Linked DNA regions of Caenorhabditis elegans. The protein of the gene in region 1 interacts with the protein of each later gene in a pairwise test. Each region holds a gene or a part of one and is shown on either strand. Other genes may lie near its edges.

Region 1 (5,309 bases):
TGGAAATCCTTATGACACACTTAAGCCTAAAGGGCCGAAAAACATACTAGGATGCCCAACTGGAATAAAATATTGGAAATCCTTATGACACACCGGCGGTATGGCGCGGCTTCAGCCTAAATAGCCACTTTTATCGCGCGTCAGTGGGGGAGCTAACGCTCCCCCACTGACGCCAAGCCTAAGCCTTGTCTAATTTATGGTATCTAGTTATATAAAGTCCAAATTTTTCGTTGTGCTTCATGTGTAATTTTCTAAAAGCTTTTGTGTTGTGCATTGTTATTTTTCTTCGCTTTCAGTATCTCCAACACCACAAAAATCAATCGGAAGTATTGCTGACTATGATCCAATGAACGGACAATGGGGTACAGCTGCTGCTCAACCGAGAAATTCCGAGAAACTTGGATATTTGAGTAAGGATTTTGTTTTTTTTTTTGGCTTTTGTTTGAATGATTTGCTCATTTGTAATCCACACAAATTTTTTGCACGTTTTGGTACTTATTAATTCGTTTTGTGGAAGAAATAATCTTTTAAAAAGCTCATTTTGAATAATTTTGATCTGTCATTAATTGAAACTAACCGCTTGTTGCAGAGGCTCAAGTGGATAAAGGTCCGGCAAGATTTTGTGCGGATTTTGCAGGAGCTCCACCTCCATCATCAAATAGTATATCTTCAACATCTCCACATTCAACACTTTCTTCTCCACAAAGCACAATTTCACCGACTGGAAAAGCTGGATTTGCAGTTAAGGCAATTTATGATTACGCTGCTGCTGATAAAGACGAGGTAAATTTAAATTAGGTTTTCAACCAGTTTCACGATGAAAATTTATTCAACCATCTAAAATATTTGATTCCAGATTTCATTCCTCGAAGGTGATATCATCGTGAACTGCGAGAAAATTGATGATGGATGGATGACAGGAACAGTTCAACGAACTCTTCAATGGGGAATGCTACCTGCAAATTATGTTCAACCACATAAACTTCCTACCGGATTGCACCGACTTTCTTAATATTTCCAAACCCACGCACATTTTCTATCTCTCCATGACCTGCTCTTGCTCACACATTTCCCCTAAATGCTTCAATTATGCTTCAGGCTTCTGCAGTTATTTTTTCAACTTTCTGAAAATCCCACAAACGGGTTCTGTTCACCTTCTGAATGCCTTTTCTCCATTTGTTTTTCAATCTTCTAAAATGTTATATGGTGCTGAAATTTAAAAATTAAAAATTATAATAAATGAATTTACTATCAATTATTAGGCCATTGTCATAAATAATAAACCGTGTCTATAAGGCACATGAGAACAAAATATACAGATCTAAATTATACTAATCTTATAATATTAGAAAAAGTCTCCAGCATTTGCTCTATCTGCAGCTCCGGCTGATGTTGAAGGTCCGACGTTATCCCCTTTTCTTCGGATCATAGATTCAATCCCAGGTGTGCCAGGAGTTTGTGCTCCTTGGCTCCAAGATGATCCAGGTGTAGTAGAACCACGACTCCATGCAGAACCAGGAGTTGTGGATCGCTTTGAACTTGACGGTCTTGACCAATTCGACATGATTTTCGGCGAGGCGAAAGGAGATTTGTGAGCAGGTAACATTTTTAATCCAAGCTTCTTGGTTGCCAACTTTTGAGCAGCAGGAGATAATTGTGCAAGCTTGTCTGAGACTCGCTTGGATCCAAATCCAGGTGTTCGGCTGAAACTTTACCAAGTTGAAAATTATTTGAAGTACTATTATCTCGTTATAGATTTTAATACCATAGAGAAATATATTTTATAACTTGAAAAAATAAACAATTTTTAATTGAAAAATGAAAACTCACTGAGCTCCTTCAGCTGCTCTCATCGCAACTTTTCTCTTGTCTCTATATTTGGCCGCGATTGAATCATTCATAGATTGTGCAATTTTCTCCCGATACGGAACCTCTGGTATCTTGAATACAGGCGCCGCACCAGGCAACGAATGCTCTGTAACGTCAGGCGCATCAAGTCGGAATGGTGTTCCATCAATTTCTCCCCAAGTCATAAGAGGAGAATCCATGTCGTCAGGATTTGGATTCGGTGTTTCGAGTAATTTGAATGAGTTGGCTGGAGTTACTTCATTTCCCAAAAAATCAACTTTTCCGGCATTCGCGAGAGCATGGCTCACTGCTGCTCGAGTCATAGCTTCGTCGCTAGGCTTCAATTTTCCGGAGTCTGGAAACCTAGTGCCACGTTTATTTATTTCAGTTTGCTGTTTTCTAGCTGCATCTGCAATCTCTGCAGGTGTCAGAGCTGCCCCATCCGGATTGAAGAGTACAGTGTTCCATGCTTTGTATGCCCAATTGTCTACATTCAGAGGTCTATTGTCATCAGCATCTACAGCATGTTTTAAAGCCAACTGCACGTCAGCTTCAGCAGCAATTGCTTGTCGAGTCACCTGAAATTAGATTAAGTTACGAATTCGACGATATCAGATTTTATTCGTGAAAGAATATCTTACAAGGTTTTTGTTATGCTCTTCCTCGGCTTTATAAACCCAAGGACGACGTGCATCTTCTCGTTCCCTCATAACTTTCGCCAATTCCTCGAAGGAAGCATTGTCTTCTGATGTGTATTTGTTGAGATATGACGTTAAAGTCTCTTCTTTCTTCTTTTTTCGTTTCCGATTTAACGCCTGAAACTCTGCGAAAGATAGTAATGGATTGAAAATCATAAATCTAACCTCATTATCTCCTTCCTCATTAGCAAAAGGCATTGGAGATTGCATCCAATCATGTGCACTCGAAGTTGAAGCAGATGAAGGGCCCGGTGTATCTGCATCGAAAGATGAAACATCAGGAGCCTCAGTTGTCGAACGAGTTGTTATTGGGGTTCTGAAGCTTCTATCGGTCCGCACACTTCCAGTACTGCAGAACTTCATTTGAAGTTCTTTTATTTTATTAATGTCCTTATTTGCAACAGCCTCCAAATACTCTTTCTGTGCCTGAAAATAGAACTCATTAAAACAGTAAATATTTATAAATAATGATTATTTTACCTGCATTTTCTTGAGATGTGGAAAATAATCTTTTTCTATAATTTTATCAAGTCCAGCAATGTACTTCTCCTCGGGAACAACTTGGCGCTCAATTTTCTTAGTAACTAGGGTTTTCTGTGACAATTTCACTACTTTTCCCTCGTTTATTGATTTTGGCACCATCAGCTGAGCTCGCTCGTCATTTTTGTCGAACGACGACATTTTTCGAGTTCTGAAAATTTACAAAATAAAATTAAAAGCACTATTTTAAAAAGAAAAAACCACGAAAATTAGAAAAATAAAAGAAATTGCGAAATTTTATAAAAAATCGGAGTTTCGTAGTGCAAGTTGTTTAGCGCTCTCGTACGTAGTCCTCGTGGACAATAAACTTACTGTTAGAATTTGTTTTCTTTCAAAGATTATTTGATTAAATACATAACACTTCTTGTCCGTAAATTAATATATTTGATTTCTGGTTAATTTATCTTCAAAAACATTAATTGCTTTCAGAAAAGGTGATAATCTCGAAATGGCTTCAACAAAAGATGAAGTTGTGAGAATGAGCGTCGATGAGTACTGGGAAGATATTAAAGACGATTATCTTATACAACTAGCTAACACGGACCCTAATGAAGTCTATCCAAGCAATAACCCCGGACCAACAACTGCTGATGGCCAAATCAATTTTGAATGTCACTGTGTCGGTCATCTTGTTGGAAGCCCTTGTGGATTCGAGTTTCGGGAAGCGATTACGTGCCAAAAGACCAATAGTGATGGTGAAATAGAGCAGGTAACAATTATTTAGCTCTAGAGTTCTCGAAAATAAATAAATAATATGTATTGTAGGGAGCTTGCGGTAAGGAGTTGATGTCGTTCATGGAGTGTGTCACACGAACACAGTGTTTCGGTACCGGTGACAATGATAAAAAGTGATGATTCAATTATAATTTGTTCATTTTGTTAATTTATAAATAATTATTGTTTAAATACTGTTTTGTAATAATTATACTGTATTTTGTGCATTACAAAGAGTATTGCGAAACGTTTATTTGCTCTCTTTTCTTTTCATCTGTATATCTTCGAACACTCCTTCATTTTTTGGTTTTCTTTTCGCTGTTCGGATGTTCCTTTGGCCGGCTTGAAGTACTTTTCATATCTATTCTCCTTTTCCACTTGAAGTTTTAGTTGCTGTGGAAGATTCGATTCGGCCATCAGTTGTCAGGCTTAAATATGGTAAAAACGTTGCAGATCATTAATCGGCGGGAAGCGGGAATTTTGCATATTGTAGGAGAAGAAAGTATAGACCCGGTTTTACGGTAAAGTTCTTCTTCGCTTTAACAAATTGCTTCACTTGTCATACTTACGCTATTTTTGTAGGGCGCCAATGAAAGAATTTAGCGTTTCGAGTTCATCTATCAATTTGTATTTAAATTCTTGTGATTTTTGAGTGAGCATTGTAAGAAAAAATGATACTCAAATTCTCCGATTGGGTCAGATCAAATGATTTTCAATGTATTATAAATATTTTTTCAAGATCTCAATAGACGCCTTTTGATAACATATCCTAATCTAAATATTCTAATACCATATATCAAACAAAAATATCATGTTGACAGGCTGGATAGAGAGATTTTATACAATTTAAGAGATTCAGAGAAACGGGTGTCGGTTGAAGTGTAGGCTTTTCCCCTTAGTGTTTGCGCGCCCCCCTTCGCAAGCAGTTAGAGACGGTAGAAAAAGGGAAAAACCGAGAAGCTACTTGAAAATGTCTCGTGTTGAGAAAGGAAAAGATCGAGTCAAGAGAAGCAAAACTGGGGAGATATCAGCTAAATATACTCCCAGAACACCACTTGATATGAAAGTAGTAGTTTCTCTGTGAATTATGAGTGATTTCTGTGTTTTCCAGTGTTTTTTCGGCAGGTACAAGTCCAAACAGCATATTACGATGTTTAAAAAATATATTTTGCCTCAAATCGTACTCACCGGTTAAAGAGACATGACACGATTTTCCTTCATGGGTCTCGCCGCGAAATAAGTAAAGTAGAATGTTCCTTTAAACTTCGGGTACGGTTTTGAGGCAATATCGATTTTTTCTTCTTTTTTTGTTTGATGCTAAATAGAATAGGTTTTTCGCACCTTGAAACTGCAATTTCATGTTTAAATGTGTTTATTAGTTTTTTATAAATTTCCTATCACCCTACAAGAACAAAATTCATGAGCGCATTGAGAGAATTCTGAAATTTTTCAAAGATAAGATTTTTAGTCAAGCTCTCTTACATGCTCCTCTATACACTGATCAGTTAA
Region 2 (3,950 bases), on another chromosome or scaffold:
TGTCTTTTCAAAATCAAGTAGCTTTTCAAAAAGAACAATCGAACTGCAGAAAAAGTTTTTTATTGGAATTCTCATTCAAGTTCTTGTTCCATATGCATTCATAGTGCCTTCAGTGTCATATTGCTGCTATTCGGTTTATTCGAATTATTATAATCAAAGTTGTTTAAAGTTGTTCAAAATTTCAAAATTGTTCAAAGTTTCAGTGCTCAACAACTTTTTCGTTTTGGTTTTCAACTTCTATGGAACGGTATCAACAATAGGACTTATATCTTGTCATACAGCGTATTGGAAGTTTGCGAGAAAATTGATAATGTTTAAGTCGAGAACAGATTTGGCGAGTAATATTTCGGTGTCAAGAAACAATCAAATACAATAGGAGTAAAAAAATTACCTTTAATCACCAATGAAAATTTGCAATGTCATTTTTTTGAAAAGCCAATGTGCGCTTCTGCGTTTTCAAACTTTTGCCCATGTAACATGTAACGTATGACAATATGTGTATTTAAAAAATTATTTTAAAAAGAAGAAAAAAGATTTCTGATAGTCTAAACTTTTTGGAAAAATTTCCTAATTTTAAATACAATTTATCCAGTGTTTGTCAGATTATTTTGAGGCTTCCAAAAACTTTTCTTTGCGCCACTACTCAACTTTCAACAAAATTGTGCGTTCTAATTTCGCTTGAATAATTTCAAGAATATTTGGAATTTGTATATCATTGTGACCTACACCACAGACCAGGCGTTGAGTAGTGATTTCTATGATTTGTGTTAGGTAGTTGGGAAAAAGTAGTTAGAAGTTAGATGTCAAACTATACATATAGCATAGCGTTCAGAGAGTTTTCATAATGAATTTCTGTCTAATAAGAAAGTGATGTGAAAATATTACTAGAGTTCACAGCTAGACGTATCCAAAAGAATACGTCTAGACTACATCTCAACAAAACTTAAAAAGCGGAACTAAATTCCGAATTCACTTTTTTAAGCATTAAATTTTCAAAAAAAAACTTTGGTTGAAAATATTTTTTGATAGTATTTTCCAGTTTTCCTGATAAATAACGTTTTTGTGTATATTGTTTTTGGTGTATGTATGTATTGATGAAAATGAAAATTTATTTTCGAAAGAAACAGAACGCTTAAGCCTTGTAGGCACGAGCTGGGCATGGACAGTATCCAGCATCTGGTCCTGGGGCGGCATCTTCTCCACGAACTCCTGGAGTTCCGTTCTTTCCTGGGGCTCCTGGTGGTCCTGGGCGTCCAGCGTTTCCTGGCTTTCCAGACTCTCCATCGTTTCCTGGGGATCCTGGTTGTCCGGCTGGTCCGGCCTCTCCACGTGGTCCTGGTGGTCCTGGACGTCCTGGTTGTCCTGGCTTGTACTCGGTTCCTGGCTCTCCGCGTGGCCCAGCTGGTCCTGGGCGTCCTGGGTTTCCTGGGCGACCTCCATCTCCTCCCTCTCCTGGTCCTCCTGGTCCTCCTGGTGGTCCTGGTGGTCCCTTGCGTCCGTTGTCTCCGGATGGTCCAGCTGGTCCGACCTCTCCTGGTGGTCCACGTGGTCCTGGACGTCCTGGTGGGCATTGAATGCATCCTCCTGGAAGATCGTGAACGATAGCGACGACTTCTCCGGCAAGTCCTGGCTTTCCATCGTCTCCGTCAGGTCCAGACTCTCCCTGTGGTCCTTGCTCTCCTGGAGTTCCTGGTGGTCCTGGTGGGCATCCTTCGGAGCGTGGTCCGCAGTTACATTGTTCTGGGAATCCGGATTGGCGAGATCTACGAATACCGAAAAGAGTTTGGAAGTTTGGTGGGGCATCGGTCTCTCCAGTTGGGTTGATGTGCTTGCGAACAACACGGTTCCAGGTATCTTGATGAATCTCCTGAAAGGTATGATTGGTGAAACATTCAAAACTTTAAAGTAAGCTTACTCTGAACTCCATCATACCATCCTCTACTTCCATCTTCATGTCAGAGATCTCCTGAAGGAGAGATCCCATCGTGAAGACGGTCACCAAGCAACAGGTGAGTGCGATCGAAGATCCTACCAGGATAAGCTTGCCCATGATAGACTATTGAAGACAAGAGTGATTTCTCCGTTGTCGCTATTGCTATTTATACTGTTTCATTGGGTGTAACTTTCCATCTATCTCCAATGGTTACCTATCTATCCATCAAACCTTTTTCTACGTTTTTTTCTGGAAATTGCTAATTCTCTAAGTCTCCGGAAAAGCAAGGTCATTTTCATTTTCTTCATTTTCGATTCTTACTGCTTCACTTTCGCGTAAGTGTACGGCAAAACCAGTTTCGTGGCAGAAAAATTTTGATGATAAGAACGGAGAGAAGGAACTAATTAAGAAAAAAAAATAGGAAGTAACCGTTCACATAGCAACCAAACAACTCAAAAATACAGACGAAATTTTAAATTCTTATTGTAAAGAGTTAAACTATTCAGTTGTGCCACTTCAAAAAACAAGTATTGAATCTTTGCTCGATGCACCATGTTCTTTATCAGCCTGCACACATACACCGGAGATTCACCAATGATTGTGTAGCTTAAAGTACAGCCTGGGTTCTGTAACTTCATAACAGCTGCTGCAAAGTTGAATAAGTGTTATTTTTAAAGTTGCAGAAGTGCACTATAAAGTTGTGACGTTTTGCCAGTGAAGTAGGAAAACGGTGTGTCAAACATGCGTAATTTACGGCAGAATTCAAACATAGCACTGGAAGAAGCTGGTGTAATTTGCCGAGTATGGACGACTAGCAAACGAAGCAAAAGCTATTTGTAAACCGGAAAAAAACCAACTTAAAACTAAAAATAAACAAACAGAAAAATCAAGTTTATTAAATCGATAATTAAACAGTTAAGCTTCTACGATACAAAAATGTTACTACTCGAAATACACAGTGCGTCCACTCTTCACATATCCTCCTAAATCCAATACGAGAGCAATATCATTGTATCTGAAAAATTAAAAATTGAAAAAAAACAACATCAGAATAATTTTTTGAAAACGAACATTTTCGGTATATTGTTCAACTTCAATTTCTTGTATTCAGGTTTCTCGATTTTATACATCTTTCGTTCAAAATCAGGATGTAGCTCCGCGTAGTAGAGTTCTCCAGTTTTCAAATAGTCAGCCTCATCTTTTCCATTGTTGAACAACATTTTGGAAATTGGATTAATAATACTTTTAGAAAACTTCGATTGAACTTTGCAGTGATCACTGAAACAAACTATGTTACTACATATTTCCATAGAACATTGTAAACTCACTAGAAAACCCCATAATCCTTAGCAGCTGTGAGAATAACCATTTTAACTGTGATCTTTTCGTCTTTCGCTGGGTAGTTCATCTCGAGAGCATTCTTCGTTGGTACTGCGTAGTTCAAAGATTGAATGGGAGATTTGGGCTCGTTTTTTGGAGCATCCAGATTATTGAGTTTCGGGCGTGCGAGATTATTATAATTTTGAATGAGCTTCTCCTCCAACAAAGCCTTTTCAAATTCATATTCTTCCGAAATATTCTTATCCCAAGTCAAGGTGTAAGTAAGTGACGATCTGAAAATTCTTATAGTTTAAAAGAAATAAAAATGGAAAACTAACTGATTGGTAGGTGCATCGTAACAGACTCGCAATTCAGAACTAATTGGATTAATGCAATAATCCTGTAGAAGCAATGGAATCAAAGCTTGAAATTTTTTATTCGGGGCAACTTTGAAAAAAGGATTTTCTTGATTGGGATTCTGCAAAAATTGGTATTATTTGAATATTAAAATTGAAAATCACATACTTTTTGTTCAGCAGACTGCTCATCATTACCGCATACAAATTCTGTCATTTTTATTGTTTAAAAAGTTAAGAAATAATTTAAAACAACGACGTGGCTAATCTTGAGAATAACAATTTACACGTCTCGCCAAAATTCAAATAATTTCTATTAAACATTCATTGTACATGTTTTT

What was found. Proteins that work in one complex are often made in the same cells at the same time.
Region 2: the proteins of ess-2 (region 1) and col-140 interact in a two-hybrid assay, tested with the Caenorhabditis elegans proteins (one large-scale study listed by BioGRID).

What each region holds. Positions count from the first base shown.
Region 1 is NC_003281.10:8,487,111-8,492,419, forward strand, and holds ess-2 (Splicing factor ESS-2), read right to left. Parts: upstream 3,243-5,309; 5' UTR 3,228-3,242; coding exon 3,027-3,227; intron 2,973-3,026; coding exon 2,712-2,972; intron 2,664-2,711; coding exon 2,490-2,663; intron 2,427-2,489; coding exon 1,831-2,426; intron 1,710-1,830; coding exon 1,346-1,709; 3' UTR 1,229-1,345; downstream 1-1,228. Other genes in the region: LIM and SH3 domain protein F42H10.3, read left to right, coding at 297-410, 590-783, 857-1,012; F42H10.2 (coiled-coil-helix-coiled-coil-helix domain-containing protein), read left to right, coding at 3,535-3,795, 3,852-3,938. UniProt on the Caenorhabditis elegans protein: Regulates pre-mRNA splicing.
Region 2 is NC_003283.11:5,834,762-5,838,711, forward strand, and holds col-140 (Nematode cuticle collagen N-terminal domain-containing protein), read right to left. Parts: upstream 2,074-3,950; 5' UTR 2,051-2,073; coding exon 1,916-2,050; intron 1,868-1,915; coding exon 1,133-1,867; 3' UTR 1,094-1,132; downstream 1-1,093. Other genes in the region: srh-76 (Serpentine Receptor, class H), read left to right, coding at 1-158, 204-376; F26F12.2 (uncharacterized protein), read right to left, coding at 2,876-2,948, 3,005-3,211, 3,262-3,546, 3,592-3,731, 3,779-3,826.